Ovis aries: one gene and its partners. The protein of the gene in region 1 interacts with the protein of each later gene in a biochemical or structural test. Links are inferred from orthologs where the notes say so. Each region holds a gene or a part of one and is shown in the gene's direction. Other genes may lie near its edges.

The links.
Region 2: the proteins of NEDD4 (region 1) and RNF7 form a complex in vitro, tested with the Homo sapiens proteins (2 studies listed by BioGRID, with this or other methods). The link is inferred for Ovis aries from reciprocal best matches to the Homo sapiens genes NEDD4 and RNF7.
Region 3: of the proteins of NEDD4 (region 1) and WBP2, one has a biochemical effect on the other in vitro, tested with the Homo sapiens proteins (6 studies listed by BioGRID, with this or other methods). The link is inferred for Ovis aries from reciprocal best matches to the Homo sapiens genes NEDD4 and WBP2.

Annotation. Positions count from the first base shown.
Region 1 is NC_056060.1:52,666,459-52,672,444, forward strand, and holds part of NEDD4 (E3 ubiquitin-protein ligase NEDD4), read left to right. Parts: intron 1-1,783; coding exon 1,784-1,903; intron 1,904-3,121; coding exon 3,122-3,325; intron 3,326-4,771; coding exon 4,772-4,852; intron 4,853-5,078; coding exon 5,079-5,133; intron 5,134-5,233; coding exon 5,234-5,292; intron 5,293-5,986. UniProt on the Homo sapiens protein: E3 ubiquitin-protein ligase which accepts ubiquitin from an E2 ubiquitin-conjugating enzyme in the form of a thioester and then directly transfers the ubiquitin to targeted substrates. Specifically ubiquitinates 'Lys-63' in target proteins.
Region 2 is NC_056054.1:247,816,052-247,822,137, reverse strand, and holds the start of RNF7 (RING-box protein 2), read left to right. Parts: upstream 1-1,855; 5' UTR 1,856-1,884; coding exon 1,885-2,059; intron 2,060-5,492; coding exon 5,493-5,540; intron 5,541-6,086. UniProt on the Homo sapiens protein: Catalytic component of multiple cullin-5-RING E3 ubiquitin-protein ligase complexes (ECS complexes), which mediate the ubiquitination and subsequent proteasomal degradation of target proteins.
Region 3 is NC_056064.1:55,099,277-55,105,362, forward strand, and holds the start of WBP2 (WW domain-binding protein 2), read left to right. Parts: upstream 1-2,820; 5' UTR 2,821-3,967; coding exon 3,968-4,125; intron 4,126-4,996; exon of another isoform or gene 4,997-5,053; coding exon of another isoform or gene 5,054-5,112; intron 5,113-6,086. UniProt on the Homo sapiens protein: Acts as a transcriptional coactivator of estrogen and progesterone receptors (ESR1 and PGR) upon hormone activation. In presence of estrogen, binds to ESR1-responsive promoters. Synergizes with YAP1 to enhance PGR activity.

The DNA of each region.
Region 1 (5,986 bases):
TAGTGCCCCGTGTCTAGCCATCTCCACTCACCTTGTTGTTCAGTTGCTCAGTCATGTCCAACTCTTTGCAACCCCATGGACTGTAGCATGTCAGACTTCCCTGTCCTTCACCATCTCCCAGAGTTTGCTCAGACTCATGTCTGTTGAGTTGATGATGCCATCCCATAATGCCATGATATGTCATCCTCTGTCCACTCACCTGGAGCCACTTAAACTTAGATCCCTGGGCGTCTCTCCCACCGCATTTTGCATTGTCCTCTATGCAGTGAAACTGGTGAATTTCTGATTCACTGACAGGCACTCATCCAAGAAACACTTTTAAGTGTACCAAATGAGCTACAGAATCTAGAGATGATTTACATTTTATGTACTGGAAAACCTGTTTCCATGCCTTTTCCTTCTTAATACATTGATTAGAGATTTCTTTGCTTTCACAAAGCTTTCTTAAGGTATAATTTACATACCATAACATCCATCCATTTTTAAGTACACAAATGAGTTTTAGTAAATTTATACAGTTGTGCAGACACTACCACGGTCAAGTTTGAGAACACTTCCATCACCACAAAAAGTGTTCTTAATCCTAATACCTACTCTTAGCCCCAGGTGACTACTCGTCTGCTCTCTGTTGCTAGTTTTGCCTTTTCTAGGAATTTCGTTTAAGTGGAATCATACAGTATGCCATCTTATGCATCTTTCACTTACTACGATGTTTGTGAGATTTATCCCTGTTGCTACATGTTTCAGGAGCTCATGATAGTCCATCATTGTAGATGTGTCTACACCATTCCATTTATCTACTCACTAGCTGTTAGACATTTGTAACGCCGGGCAACTTTGAATTCCATTATTTTATAGACTCAGAGCTCATTACAACTGTCAGCAATGTACATCTACCTCTGTGTATCTACAGAACAGTGTACCTAGTGAACAGACTAGTGGTCATAGTTTTTATATTAATATGTAAGACACATTAGGGAACCAGGCCAAACGTTGAAGAGTCTAATCTAACTCAAAAGACAAAAGGAAGGTCGGACCTGGACTGTTTTCAGTAAACCTGGAAAACTAGACCTCTTTTGTTCATTAGCAATAAACTACAGTAATCAGCACTTCCCCAGCCTTCACAGAAAGAAAGCAGGGGTAACTTTTGACTTGGCACATATGGGTGATAATTTCTATGGTTTGACTACCTGTGTTCAAATCTCAGCTCCATAATAGCAATGTTATCTGTTAGGAAATTACTTCCATTTTCTAAAACTACAGTTTTCTCGTAAGTAAAATGGGCCAGTAATCTTAATTATCTCATCAAGATTTGTGTGGCGGTGAAATGGCATGGTCTGTGTGAGAGCAGTAAGTGGTTGTTACCACTCGCGTGTTGTTATCACACTCATCATTATTGTCTGCTCTGTTGGTTTTTTTTTAAGTGAAATTCTGTGCACTTTAAAGTATGGTTTAAAACATGATTTGTTTTAAAGAGGGTTATCAGTGAAAAAGGAGATATGGTCCTTTAAAAATGATTCTTTCTGGGAGCTTTCCTGATGGTCCAGTGGCTAAGATTCCATGCTTGCAATGCAGGGGAACTGGGTTCAATCCTGATTAGGCAACTGGAGCCCACATGCTGCAGCTAAAAGATCCTGCATGCAGCAACCAAGATCCCGTGTCCTACAGCTAAGGCCCAACACAGCCAAATAAATAAATATTTTAAAAAATAGTAATGATAAAATACAATAAATAAGAAGGATTCTTTCTTATTAATATTTAATTCTGTTATTCTTCACTGTAGCTTTTGCCTACTTCATCTGGATTACCACCAGGTTGGGAAGAAAAACAAGATGAAAGAGGAAGATCATACTATGTGGATCACAACTGCAGAACTACTACCTGGATAAAGCCCACTGTACAGGTACCCTGCAGTCTGTTCATTATGGTGTTTTCTTAGGTAATTTAAACCATCATATTTCTATGGGCGCTGTTATAATATACCACTTAGTAGTAGATGCTGGATACTTCTAATTATTTTCTGACATTGGTGCTGTCTGTCATTTCCTGCAGATCTCTAATATGTGTGAGTCATTACTGGTTATTAGGTAAAATAAGTCCATTTGGGACTAGGAGGACAAAGTAAATGATCTGGTTTACTGGGTAATTTTGTAATTTGAATGGTTAAGATCATTATTTTGCTAAAAATAATCTTGGTGATTAGCATCTATCAAAGAACTTTGTCATAATGACACTGCGTCCTTGGCAACAGTTTGCCTTTTGTATTAATAATATTTCTTTGTAAGTAAGCATTTAGCAAAATGTCACAATTTCTCTTGAGAAATTTTTTAAAACTGAAAAGTACAGAGAATAATATAGTAAGTATCCATTTTCTTAAAACACTTAATTTACCACCATTAACAGCTCACCGTATTTGGTTCTAGATTTTTTGTTTTTTAAAATACAATACAGAGGAAAAGATTTTATCTTTTAATCAAGCACTTGACCCTGCTACCCAGAGGGAAATATCACTGTGAGCTTGTTGGGAATTCTTCCTGCCTATTTTATGTACTTAGTAGAGAGCTAAACAATGCAAAATATTATTTATGTCCATGTGTCAAATTTAACAAAGATATTATGTAATTCTAAATATTTTTTGCTCACTATTGTTTTAAAATCATATCATGTTGGTTTATATATAGATCTAGTGGGTTTTTTTTTTTTTAGCTGCCTTTTATTTTATCACAAGAATATATTACATTTCAGTTATCCATTTCTGTAGTGGCTGTTTGCCATTTATCTTGTCTACCACCATTTGAACCCATTTTTCGTGTGGGAAATTCCCACTCTATGTGAGTCTTTGGGGTGAGCAAAAAACAACCTTCTGTAGTTGTCAGTGCGGCTTCCCTGCAACTAGGGTTAACAGACTGTTAACCGCATCTTACTGCTCAAGAATTAGCTGAGAAATTTTAAATTGTTTTAAAAACAAACTTTGACAAAGCACTTTATTGGAGAAATGAGCCTCCAGTCTTTAGGCCTGTTTATAAGTGTGTGTGCTGTTTGCAGATTCAGTTACCTTTTTAACCACAGCTATTTGTATGTTCTCTGTAAACATTACTACATAATTGAATTAATGTGCTAGGCCACAGTGGAGACCAGTCAGCTGCCGTCAAGCCAGGGTTCTTCTGCAGGCCCTCAGCCACAGGCCCCCGCGAGTGACGCAGCACAGCAGGTGACCCAGCCATCTGAAATGGAGCAAGGATTCCTCCCCAAAGGCTGGGAGGTCCGGCACGCACCAAACGGGAGGCCTTTCTTCATTGACCACAACACCAAAACCACCACCTGGGTAACTTCAGTGGTTTCCAGTTTAAATTTGTAATAACAATAACAATCACTTACGTGTAGTTCTTGATAATCTTTGTAAGTATACATTAATACAGGCTTCCCTGGTTGTTTGGTTGGTAAAGAACCTGCTTGGAGTGCGGTAGAGACCCGGTTTTGATCCCTGGGTCCAGAAGATCTCCTGGAGAAGGGAATGGCTGGCTACCCAATCCATTCCTAGTCCTTATTTAAAAATATGTTGAATTCTTAAGAGTATTATTTATATTCAGTATATTTATACCTATTTTTAATATCGGGGGGATTGTTAAGGCTATACATTTACTTCCTGTTTGCAGTGGGCTTTTGTTTTGTTTTTTGGCCATGCCACATGGCTTGTGGGATCTTAGCTCCCCAAGCAGAGATTGAACCCATTCCACTCTTCAGTGAAGGTATGGAGTCCTAACTACCAAGGAAGTCTTGTGTTTCTTGTGTTTGCAGTTTTTAGCTCCCTAGCCATAAATGCCCAGGAAGATATTTAGTCATAATCATTTCCCTTTATATGAGGCCTCTAGTTCCAAAGTACTTTTGAATCCATACCTCATAATATTCAGAAAGCCTTATGAGCTAGGTAGAATAAGTATTTTTATTTTAAGATAAGGCTTAAAGTTGTTGAGTAGTTGGTTCACCACTAATAGAAAAACTACTGAAAATTATCAGTAAATGCAGAGATTTTGATTAATAAATTATTTAAAAGTTACCAATATGCCTAAATTAAAATTATATAATACATTACTTAATAAAACAATATTGAAATGATAATATTTAAATAAATCCAAATAAATTAAATTTTGTTCTTTCTTTCAATAATTTGAGTTGGCTTTAATAACCTTTTTGAGCTTACCTTCTTATCTCTTAAAATTAATAAATTAATATATAATAAATTAACAGCTTAGCATCTGTCTGGGTACCAAAAAGCATGTTCAAGGCCTCAGAAATAACATGTGCTCCAGCTTTATGTCCACTCTTACACCAGTTTTTATTTAGAGAAGAGCCCTGTGTAGTGACATAATCCTTAAAGAGTGGGCAAAATACTCTAAATGGTTTTTGTGAAAGAGCAAGTAAGTTAATACGGATCCTTCTCAAGATCTAATTGAATTTTTTTTAATTAAAAAAGAAAAAAAATGTTTTTGGCCTGCCGCAAGGTATGTAGAATTTTAGTTTCCCAGTCAGGAATCGAACCCATGCCCCCTGCGGTGGAAGTGTGGAGTCTTAACCACTGGATTGCCAGGGTCCCTTAGAACTGAATATTGTAGCCTATGAAGGAGAGATTTTAGATGAGAACCTATTATTTCATTGAGTAAGCAAATGAAAGTGAATTCATTGATATTAGAAAACATAGTAACAGATTGACTTTCATGATTTTAAAGTTTGTGTGTATATATTGTTTTCTTTATTTACTCTACCAAAAAAGGAAGATCCAAGACTGAAAATTCCAGCTCATCTGAGAGGAAAGACATCACTTGATTCTTCCAGTGACCTGGGGCCTTTACCTGTAAGTTTATAGAACTGTTACCCATCTAACTTGACTGTCTCAAACATTTGTATTTCGGAATGAAATAGTTCTTTCATAACTATAATTATTATTGTTGTTGAAGTGTTGATGTCTTCTACCAAGAATGGAATATACAAATTAAATCGACCATATAACCAAAACCATTTTTCTGCCCATACACTGAAAACCTGTTCCTAATATAAATGAAATATGTTCTTCATTATAGCCAGGATGGGAAGAAAGAACTCACACTGATGGAAGAATCTTTTACATAAATCACAGTATGTACAGTGTGATTTTTTTTCCCATTACATTATCTTTTGTAATATCGAATTTTTTGCATGAGAATAAAGAACCTCTTTTTTTCCTCTCTTTCTTCAGATAGTAAAAAAACACAATGGGAAGACCCTCGTTTGCAGCATGTAGCAATAACTGGACCAGTAAGTCCCTTTGTATCAGCATCCTCTGATGGGGTTGTCCTCTTACTTGTGTCTTCAAGGACAGATGATGAAGGGTATAGCTCTAAATAAAGGTGTTGAGAGGAAAGCACATTTGCAAATCTCTCCTCTCCCCACCACCCATACACTCGGTCTCAGTTATTTGAAAAGGGCATTTAAAGTAGTTACCTTTACTCTACACAACCACCTTGGGATGCCAGTGAGCAAGAAAGTTAACTCAGTGAAGCTAACTCAGTGAGGCTGCTGTGCTCAGACTAGTACTTGAAATAATCTGAAAAAAGAATGCTGGAATCCTCAGCAAATCAGATAGGAACCAAGAGTGTATCTGATGAGAAAGCCGACAGTGCCTTGTCAAATCAGGGTCATGTCTTGAACTTTTTGGTTGAAATCATTGTAAATACTGGTATATAAGACATTCATATTTAAAGTACAAGTATTACTATGTATGAATGTTTATACTACTCTTGAATCAGATTAATGATAGGAAAATAATTTTCCTCTTTTATATAGCTTCTTTTTCAGGTTATAATTGTTTTCTAATTCACAAAAATAAGTAAAATTGAAGATACAATTCTTTTAGTTTACTCTTGTGACTCCATGTTTAGTCTTTTAAAGTAATGGATAAAAAAGGCAACTCCTCAGAGTTCAAGGAAAAAGTACATTTTTCAAATTGTTC
Region 2 (6,086 bases), on another chromosome or scaffold:
GACTGAGCGACTGAACTGAACTGATAGTCAGATATGTGATAGCTTAATGTGAATGAAACATGTTCTGGATGGTTCATCTGGGTTTGTTTACAGACATTTTTGTCTGGCTCATGAAGTTACTGTGGTGAGATTTATATCTGCTACCACCACTACTGCTCTGTCCATTTGCTTTCTCCATTTACTTCCTGGCCTCCAAGGCCTCCCATCTCCCGCCGAGTTCAAACTTAACCTCTTCTATGAGGCTTTCCCTCACTCCCTCACTCCATCTGTCTTGAGGAAGGTTTCTGTCTCTGACAGCACTTAATGCACCACCCAACAAACAGCACATGTGGCCAAATGTGACCCTGTGTCCATATTTGTATCGTTACACATTTAATGCCTCCTTGACTCCTCTGCCAGAGTTCTGAAGTTTGGTTAGCCTAGACCCAGGGGCACCAGGCCTGACACCAGGAGATGAGGGAATGATGAGACCCTCATCATTAAAATAAAAAGAGGTGCGAAGCTCTGAGTCCTAATCCTGACACAGCAGGTGGCCACCACTAGGTGGTAGTGTGACCAAGCATCTTCCGGTCTCCATGCCTCAGCTTCGGTATCTTTTAAAAGAAGATGTTATCTGCTTTGCTTGGGAAAACATAACATGACCCTGGGCTAGTAACAGAAGAACCTTAGTTTCCACTGTCACCTTCTCAGAATAGCAGAATTACTTTTCTGAATTACTATAAATTACTTTTATAAATATAGCAGAATTACTATAAATTACTTTTGGGGACTTCAGTATTCCTACACATAAAAAGTTAAACTAGATTTAAGTTTCTTAGAGTGTGGTCTCCAGGGTTCCTGGAAGTCTTTCAGGGGACCAACAAGGTCAAAACTATTTACATATTTACATAACAGTATTCATAGCTCTGAGCTTCCCAGGTAGCTCAGCTGGTAAACAATCCGCCTGTAATGCAGGAGACCCCGGTTGAATTCCTGGGTTGGGAAGATCCCCTGGGGAAGGGAATGGCTACCCACTCCAGTATTCTTGCCTGGAAAATCCTATGGACAGAGAAGCCTGGCGGGCTACATACAGTCCATGGGATCTGCACAGTCGGACACGACTGAGCGACGAAGCACAGCACAGCACTCATAGCTATTTCTCTTCATTCTCTCTTGTGAGTGTACAATATTGGTATTCTAAGGATAACTTGTAATGGATTTCTTACTGTTTTGAAGTGAATTAATATATTCACATTTCCCCCGTTTTCTTAAAAAGGAAATACATATGTATAAGCGTGTATATGTACACATCCATCCTATACAAACAAAAGTTCTTAAATGTCCTTAAGTAATTTTTAAGTGTAAAGGGGTCCCAAGACCAAAATATTTGAGAACTGTTGAACCAGATTCCTAGCTCGTCATTCATTCACTCAACATATAACTGTCCCTCCCGAGACAGCATTTCTTAACGAAGGAGATGATCAAGAAATAGTCCCCCCACCCAAAAAGAAAAAAGAAATAGTCCCCGCTCCCCCCAGGGCGTTTACATTTGAGAAGGACGAATATATCAACAAGACAACGTCTAAAAGCGGTGTCATGAAGACATAAAGCAGGACACGTGTCTCCCCCGCGCAGGGTCGGTCCGGGGTCCCTCACCCCGCTGAGCTGGCCGGGCGTTGGGGACGCGAGTACCGGGAACTAGGACACCGGGAAGCCGCTGGTGCCGGCGTACGGTGACGTCACTGGGCCGCGCCAGCCAATCACGGGCGCCCCACGGTCCTAGACCCCCGCGGCGGCCCGTGGCCTGCGGGCGGCGCTGTGGCCCGTCGGACGGCCCCACTGAGCCGCCATAGCCGCCCGCCTCCCACGACCCAACGTCTCCGTCGCCGGCTCCGCGCCGCCGCTATGGCCGACGTGGAAGACGGTGAGGAACCCTGTGCCCTGTCCTCTCACTCGGGGAGCGCAGGATCCAAGTCGGGCGGTGACAAAATGTTCTCTCTCAAGAAGTGGAACGCGGTGGCCATGTGGAGCTGGGACGTGGAGTGCGATACGTGCGCCATCTGCAGGGTCCAGGTGATGGGTAAGCGCAGCAGGCGAGGCCCCGGCTGTGCTGCGGCCTCCGCAGGCCCGGCTTCGGGCGTGGGGGGAAGGACCAAGCCTTGGAGAGACCGTTCCGGGAGGAGTAGGGGCGGGATCGCCCTGCCCCGGCCCCAGGAGACCGCGGGCCACGCCCGAGCTGGTCGTTCAGCAGGCGACTTGTGCCGGGGACGGGTATTCTGGGGGAATAGGGGGGTAGCAGGCAGGACAGTTAAACAAGGTCATTTCCAGTAGTGATCGGTGTGATCACGACAATAAAAGTAGGTGATTTGACGGGAGCTGGGAGGAACCACTTCGGTTTGTGTGGCCAGCGACCGCACCCTTTTCCGAAAGCAAACCACACAGAGGTCAAGGTCAAGGCCCTGAGTCAGCGGGTCAGTCGGATGGTTCTGGTCACACACCAAAGTGATGCTCTGGAGTCATTTTCCCCCCAAACGGCCGCTAGTCGTGCTCTGGAGAGGCGCAGGGAAGAAGAGTGTTCCTAGCCGTCCCCTTTCTAGATTGGCTACTGTTCTGCTGGCTTTTAAACCTGGATGATTCAAGATTGGTCAGATCGCACTCGGTTGGCTTGAACTAGAAGAATGTAAACCCTTTTATTCAGAGACATGAAGCTTCATCTCTTTACTGGCCACTCCCCATCCTAGCATGCAATTTCTTGGAGAAGGGTAGTGCCCTCAAGTCTGGCCTTTCTGGAAAGCCCTCTTTTGCAAACTTGTTACTTCTTTCTATGATATTTTTAATGAAAATATTGGACCACGTGAAGCCTTTCAGAGCAGCTTCATCTCGTTGTGTTTTATATGGTCTCTGTTTTAAGATCTTAGACGACCTTAAAAAAGAGTTGCTGTTTAAATGCACGTTATATTTTTAAATAGGGCATTTAAAACTACAGCATTTAAGAGTGTCTTAAATGTCATTTCTTGAAGGTAATTGGAGAAAACTGAGGCTTCTGTAGTTTGAAAACTTTGTGTCTTGCACTGAAAAATGAGACAGTTGGAGAAAGTAACTTAAAAGATGCTTTCCCTTCTTGAGCATTGAAAATTTAGACCTACCAGAAACAAGAGATTTCTCAATTTACTCTCTCTGTAGTATGCACTTATGTTTTTTATTCGTAGGAATTTGTTTTAAAGAGAATTTGCAACTATGGGATTCAAATATTTTTTTACTTTTTAAAAGAACTAGATTTCAGATGTGATCGACTTATTTTGTGTATCGGGTTTTTAGGTACTTAGTTTATGGGCCTGCAATACAGCCCCCTTGCCCTAACCCTTTCTTGAAAGCTAGAATCATAACTTCCAGTTTGTGGGATTTTTTTTCTTTTTTAGTTTAAAATAATTTTCCTAAAAGAGCATCTTATTTTTCTCCCCAAAGAAAAATTTTAAATTAGTAGGTAGAAATGCAAAATATAAAATAATGGTTGAAAGTTTGCAAGAAATAAACTTTACTGGGATATTTAAGGTAAGTCAAAGTATGGGCTATAAATGACTCACTTCTCACATTAACTTTCTAATTATAACAAGTATTTGCTACTGTGGATTAATGTTTCATATTTACAACAGCTGTACTTTGGGTTCAGAAAAGTATTCTGGGCTAGACCTCTGTATTGTGTTTATGAGGTGTTAAAATCTATTTGGTGGTCAGGTGACAGCAGAAGGAAGTGTGTTTTCTGGCATCATTCTAAAAGGTGTTACTGTACTCCTTAGAAATGCGCTGTTTTAGATATTAAGAACATCATCAAAGGAAAATGTTTTCTTTTATATGAAACTTTAGGAATTTTTATCTGTTCAGATCAGTTGTTGATAGTGAATCTAAATAAAAGCCGTAGGCATGATTCAGAGACTTCTAGATTCTATAAAAAGCCCACTTAATCCTGTGTCCTTGATATTTGAATTCATCTCATACACCTAAATGATTTGTTATAACTTCTTGATCTAAGAATTGCCAGTCAGCCCATTCTAATGTGGTTAAGACACTCTTCCTTGGTTTCCACTCTGCCGACTTTATTGGGAAAGGAGCTGCTAGCAAGCACCGGTGAGGAAGAGGGGACGAGGTTTGCTTGTATTGTCAAGGGATAAAGAGCCAGAGTAACCTTCCACAGCTATCTGTTAACTTGGACGTTTGACATAACCTTCTGGAGCCTTGTTTTCCTAACTTGTAAAAGAGACAGTTGGGATCCTGAACTTTCTGTGACTGCACAGAACCAGAGGCATGTCTTCCCCCTTATATCATGATCCTTGCGATATTTAACTGTTTACCTATCCACTTTCCCATTTACTGGTGAGACCAGGGACCCAGACTTGGTCATTTTGGTGGCCCCCAGGCATTACTCTTTGCACAGGGTAGGTACTCAGTAACTGTGAAATTGAAGAAAGCCTCAGGAGGCAGTGGTGGTTTTTAATCCACACTGAAGAGGCCAGGGTAGTGTGTTTTTTTTAAGGGTAAGAGCATGCAGAGAGGAGCAAACAAATGCCTGAGCATAATCCAGTGTAAGAAAAGAAGTAGGCTTCAACTCTATCCTGTTTCTATTTTTATAGAATTTTTCTCTAATTTATATTAAAATCTTTTTTTTTTTTCTGTTAGTTTGAACTTCCTTTCACCCAACTTTGACTGCTTTCAGCTAGTGAATGAGTCCATTTCTTTGGTTCCTAAAATATTCTATATTACGTTCTTCAAGCAAATGGTAGTACAGACTGAATTTTGAAAAGTTCTAGTATATCCTTTTGGTTCCCATTCCTCATGTTTACTCCCAGGTAATTTATTAAAATACTTTACCGTTGTTGGGTAAATGCTTTGGGCTCAGATTATTTGTAAAGGGAGCATTTCCTTAAAAAGAAAAAATAAGAGAGAGAACCTAATATTTAGGGTTTTTTAAATTTAATTTTTATGTAGGTTATACAGTCACAACTTAAAAACTTGAGAAAGTGTGCAGTGAAAACCCCTTCCCATTCCATCTCCTCCCAGGTGAACTTTATTATTAGTTTCTTGACTATCCTTCTAGAGTTTCTAAATATATGTAAGCAAATACCAATATATATTTGTGGCTTATTTTAAAGGATGTCTTGAAAATAAACTGTTCATAAAATTGATCTGTGTGCATGTGCCCAGGGAGTAATATAGTGAAATATAGCATATTTTTCTCTAGTAGTTACATCCACTGTCAGGACATGTTTTAATCAGCACTTGTGAAAATAGAGGGTCAGTAACTCTTGTGAAATTGCTCCTGGTCATAAGTAAATTAGTAGAGTGCCTTGTACTTTATTCATCTTTAAGCAGTTATGTTCAGATGAGAAATTAATAGTATGAGCCTTCTAATCTACATCTCTAACCCTTTGGGCCTTTTATTTGACTTTGAAGTGTATGGGGTTTTAAAAATTGCATTCTGAGCATCAGAATGAGAATTGCTATTTGTTTACTTTTAGATGCCTGTCTTAGATGTCAAGCTGAAAACAAACAAGAGGATTGTGTTGGTATGTTGTAATTTTGTTCTGCTTTTTCAACTGAAGGTTTTCTCTCAGTGGGGATGTTTGAATTTGCAGTTAAGATTGACTTTATCAATACACAAAAATAAACTGTAAAGCAGCGATTCATTATTAATATAAAATGTGTTGGTTCTCAAAGGGTCTTAATGGAATTATCTGTAAGTCCTTTAATTGCTTGTAATTCAGAAGAATTGATTATATATTGTAGACATGGGCATGGTAAATGTTTTAATAATCAAAAAAGAAATATATTCTATTAAGAAAAATATAAAATAAGGAATTTGCCAAAACATCCTTTAAATTTTGAGTATGTTACAGGTTAGTTTTGGTCAATCAGGATTTTATTCTAACAAAGCATTTCAGTTTTCAGTACTCTTTTATGATCGAGTATTTAACTTTTCTCCTAAAGGTGAAAGCAATTCTAAATCTCCAGATTCCTTTGTATGTAGTTTATAGATAGAAATCTGTTAAATTTTATTTACATGTGGTACTACAATAGTTGTCTTAGGGGAAAAAAAAGTTGTCAGGTTAAAT
Region 3 (6,086 bases), on another chromosome or scaffold:
TAAGAAGCTGCAATTCTCCAGTACCTGCTGCTCCCTGTCGGATTTTGCCAACAGGGGGCGCTAGAGGGCCTGCAGAGCGGGGAGAAGGGGGCAGACTGCTTCCCAGCTGCTGGCTGTTTCCTCATCACTGGAAGGCTTCCTCAACCCGAAGCTGCAGTTCCTTTGTTTAGCCGTTTAGTGGTGTCAGACTCTTTTGCCACCCCATGGATTGCACCAGGCTCCTCTGTCCACCGGATTTCCCGGGCAAGAATACTGGAGTGGCTTGCCATTCCCTTCTCCAGGGGATCTTCCAGACCCAGAGATGAAACCGGTGTTTCCTGCATTGGCAGGCAGATTTTCACCACTGAGCCACCAGGGAAGCGCAGCTGCAGTTCCTTAGCAGCAGCTTAATGCAGTTTGCTAGTTTCTCCATCCCTTGCAGAACTAGCTACCCTGAGCCCTGTTCAGAGACACCACCACCAGCGAGCATGTACCCCACTCAAAGAATTAGGTTTTAGTCCCCAGGGGCACTTCCTTCAAGCTCCTATGTTTATTATAATTACTCCAACTTTGCCCTTTGGCTCCTCCAGTCCTAGGTTCAGGTCCCTCTGGGACACCTTAGAATTATTTATTTTCACCTTTTCTGTTACCTAGCGATCTACCTTTACAGCAACATGCCTAGCTTTATACCTATGTTAATTCTTTATACTGAATTCTCTGTTCAGATAGTTGGACAATTTCACACAACCCCCCAAAGCACACTTCAGGATCCCCATTGACCACAACCTACCTCTTGGGATTGCTATGTGGGAGCAGGACAGATAAGGGGACAGGTTGGAGGGGTACCACTGGAAAATTCCCCAAACTCTGTTCCAGTTCAGGGCTTTGGAAAACACCCCTTCCCTCTCTAGGTCCAGTCATTCTGTCATCTCCGATCTCTAGCCCCTGCAGCCCCAGTCACAGATAGTAGGCTCCAGGCAAAAGCCTGGGGCTTTGTACCTTCAGGGTATCTGACAACTTCTGTGATCAGCCAGAGCTGGGAACCACTATTAAGGAACAGGAAGGCTTGCCTGCCCTCTTGGTTGAGAAAGGGGAAAAAGTCCCTCAGTCTTTTGAGTCTCCTAGCCCTTCAAAAGTGAAACAAAGATGTGACATCTAAAGAAAAACCCTCAGCCGTGCTCGGTGGTTCAGGGAATAAGCATCCATCTGCCGATGCAGGGGACACAGGTTCAATCCCTAGTCCAGGAAGAGTCCACACTAAAGCCCACAACTACTGAGTCTACACTCCATAGTCCGAGAGCCACGACTAATGTGCCACAGCTAGCCTGTGCACCTAGAACCTGTGCTCCGAAACAAGCCCACCGCAGCAAGCCTGTGCACAACAGAGTAGCTCCCCCCTCCCCTCCACCTCCGTCACTCACGGCAACTAGAGAAAGCCCGAGTGCAGAAACGAAGACCCAGGGCAACCATAAATAAATAAATAAAAATACTAAGAGAAACAAAACTCTCCTCCTCACCAAGAGGATGAGAATGACCTAAATCTCACTGACACACCCTTTAGTAAACTAATCAGGGAACTGCAAATATGGGACAGTTTCAGCTCCAGGAGCTGGGCGGATGCAGGTCCCATCTCTGGCGGGGTGGGGTGGGGAACCTGGTGGGGTATTACTCACATCAACTCCAGCACACTCCTGTCCTCTCCTCCACTTCCCCCACCCACACTACCCTCATCCTTCCTTTTGGAATAGGAGTTTTCAAAGTGAGGATTACGAAATCAATTTAGGGCACAAGGATTAGCAGATTTTAAAAAGACAACGTATTACAGAAAACCTCAGAGGACATCACAATATACAATTAAAATTGTCTCAATCCTGATCTGTGACTCTTTCTTTTTTCCTTTTTAGGTGATACACTTCACAGTCTCCTTCTGGGGAAAAATAGCATTCATGACAAAATGCTTAAGCAGTTTTTATTTACTTTATTCTTGAGGTATAGTTAATTTATAATGTGTTAGTTTCAAGTGCACAGCAAACTGATTCAGTTATACACACACCCCCATATATTCTTTTTCAGATTCTTTTCCATTGCAGGTTATTGCAACATACTGAGTATAGCTCCCTGTGATACAGTAGGGCCTTTCTGTTTGCTGCTGTTTGCTGTTTAGTCGCCAAGTGGTGTCTGACTCTTTGCGACCCCATGGACTGTCGCCCCCGAGGCGACTCTGTTCATCAGATTTCCCAGGCAAGAATACTAGAGTGTGCTGCCATTTCCTACTCCAGGGGATCTTCCTGACCGAGGGCTCGAACTTGTGTCTCCTGCTTGGCAGGCGGATTCTTTACCACTGAGCCATCTGGGAAGCCATACAGTAGTATATGTAGTATATGTTAATCCCAAACTTCTAATTTATCTCCACCTCCACCCCTGACATGTTCAACAACGAACTGCCCTTGAGTTCCTTAGTGTGGTCCTGGAAAGGACCTGCCCTGTCCACCGCCTGGGAGCAGCCCCAACAATGCGTTCACATGGTCACGTGTTTTATGAAACTTGCAAAAGCTGGACACTTAAGCCAGAATGGGTTAAGCCTGCTATCTTGTTCCACTCAGACTTCCTCTTCATCACATTTCCCCTCCTGTCATGAGGCCTCAGTGTGGCCACAGCATGGTGTGTTTATAATCCTGTGTTTTAGTTCTTACACAGGGCCTCCAACACGGGAAAGGCTTCAGGCTCCACAAAACGAGACTCTCTCTGCCACCAATCGGGGTTGTGCACTGTTGGCCCACCTTCCCTCTTATGGTACTTACAGCAGCTGTTCTTGCACACCCATTATTGGGTGAGTTTTCTCTTTTTTTTCCCTTTCTTTTTGAAATGTATTATTAACATTTAAAATGCACACAGCAGGGACCTCCCTCGTGGTTCACTGGTTAAGACACTGCGCTTCTACTGCAGGGGACACGGGTTAGATCCCTGGTGGGGGCACTGAGATCCTGCATGCTGCATAGCCAAAAAAATAAATAAAATGCACACAGTAAACAAACAGTAGAAAAGAGCATGAAAGTGAAGTCGCTCAGTCGTGTCCGAATCTTTGCGACCCCATGGACTGTAGCCTACCACACTCCTCCATCCATGGGATTTTCCAGGCAAGAGTACTGGAGTGGGTTGCCATTTCCTTCTCCAGAGGATCTTCCTGACCCAGGGATCGAACTCATGTCTCCTGCATTGTAGGCAGATGCTTCACCATCTGAGCCACCACAGAAGTCCATCCTTCAAGAGACTTAATACCTTATTTTTAGACAAATGTAAGTATATTTATACATCATTTGTTCAGACAAACCGTAGCAATCTTTTCATTTCAGCACACAGAATTTGACCTCATTCTTTTCAACAACTGCATAGATTGCATGCGTGGATTTTTATTTTTATTTTGGCTGTGCCAGGGATATAGGCTGTGCCCTGCCTTTACCACCTGGTGGCTCAAACAGTAAAGAACTGCCTGCAATGCAGGAGGACCTGGGTTTGATCCCTAGGTCCAGAAGATCCCAGTATTCTTGCCTGGAAAATTCCACAGATACAGGAGCCTGGCGGGTTATACAGTCCATGGAGTTGCAGAGTCAGACACGACTAGGAGACTTTCACTAACTCCCTGACCAAGGATGGAAACTTTGCCCCCTGCAGTGGAAGCAGGGAGTCTTAACCACTGGACCGCCGGCAAAATCCCATATGTATGGAACTTAACTTAACCTTCAAGGGCAGATTTCATCATGTCCCCTGATGTACTACTTCATCGCACTTGTCCTGCAACGTCCATCCTGGTTTTGCGCAAGACCTTATAGAAACTTACCTGCTTCATAATATTTTCCAGTTTTTTACCCTTAACCTAAGAAATCTCACTCAAAACGAAAGTCAAGCAGGTGAATCACAAAGTTGGCCACCACGTGTCAGGAAATTAGCAGTGTGCTTCAAATCAAACTCTGATCCCTTAAAATCAAAGATGCACCAGCACCGCCCCGGGGGTAGTGAGACACCACCACGCCCCTTGCCCCGCCCCAACTCCCACTCCCACAATTACCCGGAAAGACCCGCCTCGGAGGTGCCGGAAGTTTACAAAACTACAGCGGCGAGCGGGGGCCGCACAGTGGCAGAGTCACAGTGAGTCAGCCCTAAGCACTCGGTCTCTCGCTGTGCCCAGTGGCATTCAGTTCCTCCCAGTCTGGTTTAAATCTTCGAGCCTGGAAAATGCTGGGAGGGCCGGGCGGCAAAGCCATAATGTTCTAGAGGGAGCAGCGCCACCGCGAGGCCAGCTGCGGTGGACGAGGCGATGAGATGAAGGCGCTGGGCTCGGGTCCTCCTCCCCGCACCGAGATTCCCACCGCCCACTTCGGAGGGTCTGGGTTTGATTTCATGGGAGCGATCGCAGTTTTTCCTGACTCTTCTCTGCCAAACAGAAACTGGTCTTGCACTTATCTGTCCGGCTCAGAGATTACTCAAGTGTGTGTGTGTGTGTGTTGGGGGTGGGGAGGAGGAGCAGTCATGTAAGTTCTCCCCAAACGTTTGTAGATGGAATGAAGCTGCCCCAGTTAGTGATCAGCGCTCCTACAGCTGGGGTAGGTTACAACCTCCATCCTGTGGGTATGAGCTTTTGCCTCCAGCGCCTTTACGATTAGTTCCTCTGTGGCTAACCGAACTATTCATTCGGCTCCCTGGGAGGAAGCAGTGGAGGTAGGTGGGAATTAGTTATGCGACTCGTGGAGTCAATCGGGACCTGCGGTCTCGGAGACTACAAGTTCCAGAATGCATCCTTCCGCTAGCGTGTAGGGAGAGGTCGGGGTTGAGGGAGCGTTGCCTTCTGGGAGTTGTAGTCTTGAGCTTGTTTGTGATGCAGGCGCTACCCGGGGAGGGGGGAGGGGGCGAGGCCGTAAACTATTAGCACGTGACGCCCGGGATCAGGCGGTAGAGCCTGCCTCCGCACGGGAGCTGTGACTGGCTGGCGCTTATCTGAACGACGCCACCAGGGGCGGGCAGAAGAAGGGCGCAAGCGCACTGCGTCGCCAGGCTCGGGACCCTGTTCCGAGGGACTATGGCGCTCAACAAGAACCACTCTGAGGGCGGCGGAGTGATCGTCAACAACACCGAGAGGTGAAGACAGTGCGGAATAACCCTAGAGGCCCGGAAGGGCGGGCATCGAGCGTGTGGGCGGTGGGCGGCGGGGCGTGAACCCGTGGAGAGGGGAAACTGATGGGTCGGGGGGTAACGAACGGCTTGGGGCGGGGCTGCGGGAAGCTGAGTGGGTGTTGAGGGAGGGGCCGGGATGCTTTGATCAGCTGTGGGATGGGGCCGGGGCGGCCGGATGGGGCGGGGGCCTTGCAGAGACAACTGGAGCTTGCGGGTCGTCCTCGAACCCCTTGCCCAGGGTAGGAGACGTTAGGAAACGCGGAAAGCTTTAGACAAAAGTAATTGCCATTTATTTAGGCGTTTACTGTGTGTCGGGGAGGGGCGACATCTGTTCTGCCTTTTTTCAGTGTGTGAATCCTGTGCGGCAGGTGCTATTACACTACACACTTGACATGTAAGGAAACTGAGGCACAGGGAAGTTAAGAAACTTGCTTGAGCTCACAAAGCTGTAAGTAACAGCGAAGGAGTCTTGATTCCAAAGTCAGTAGCCTTAACTACCAGTATGTAGCCTTCCAGTATATTCCAGAACTGCTCAGTTTCCAGGTGAGAAACTGAGGCCCAGAGGTGAAATTACATAGTTAACGATCGTCAGATGCCTGACATATTTCCTATAAAGGTCAGTTTTTGCCTCTTTCCCTTGAATTCCTATTGGCTCGGGTCACTCCCCAGAGTGGTCTCCCACCTGTCCTGCCCACCCCCCACTCCATTCTGTCTCTCCTACCTTCCGCTCCTTGAACGGCTTCTCTCCTCTTGCTCCTTGGGCGTTGAGAATCAGACCAGCCAGCCCTGGTTGAGTGACCCAAAAGCACCTCTTGAAGGAGCAAAGAAGGAATCTGAGTCCCCAGAAGAGACTTGGTGGGATCAGAGTCTAGACACTGGTTAAGGCCAGCACTCAGCCCAGGGCTGTAACCCGGCATGCTTGTTGAGTCAGGAAAGCA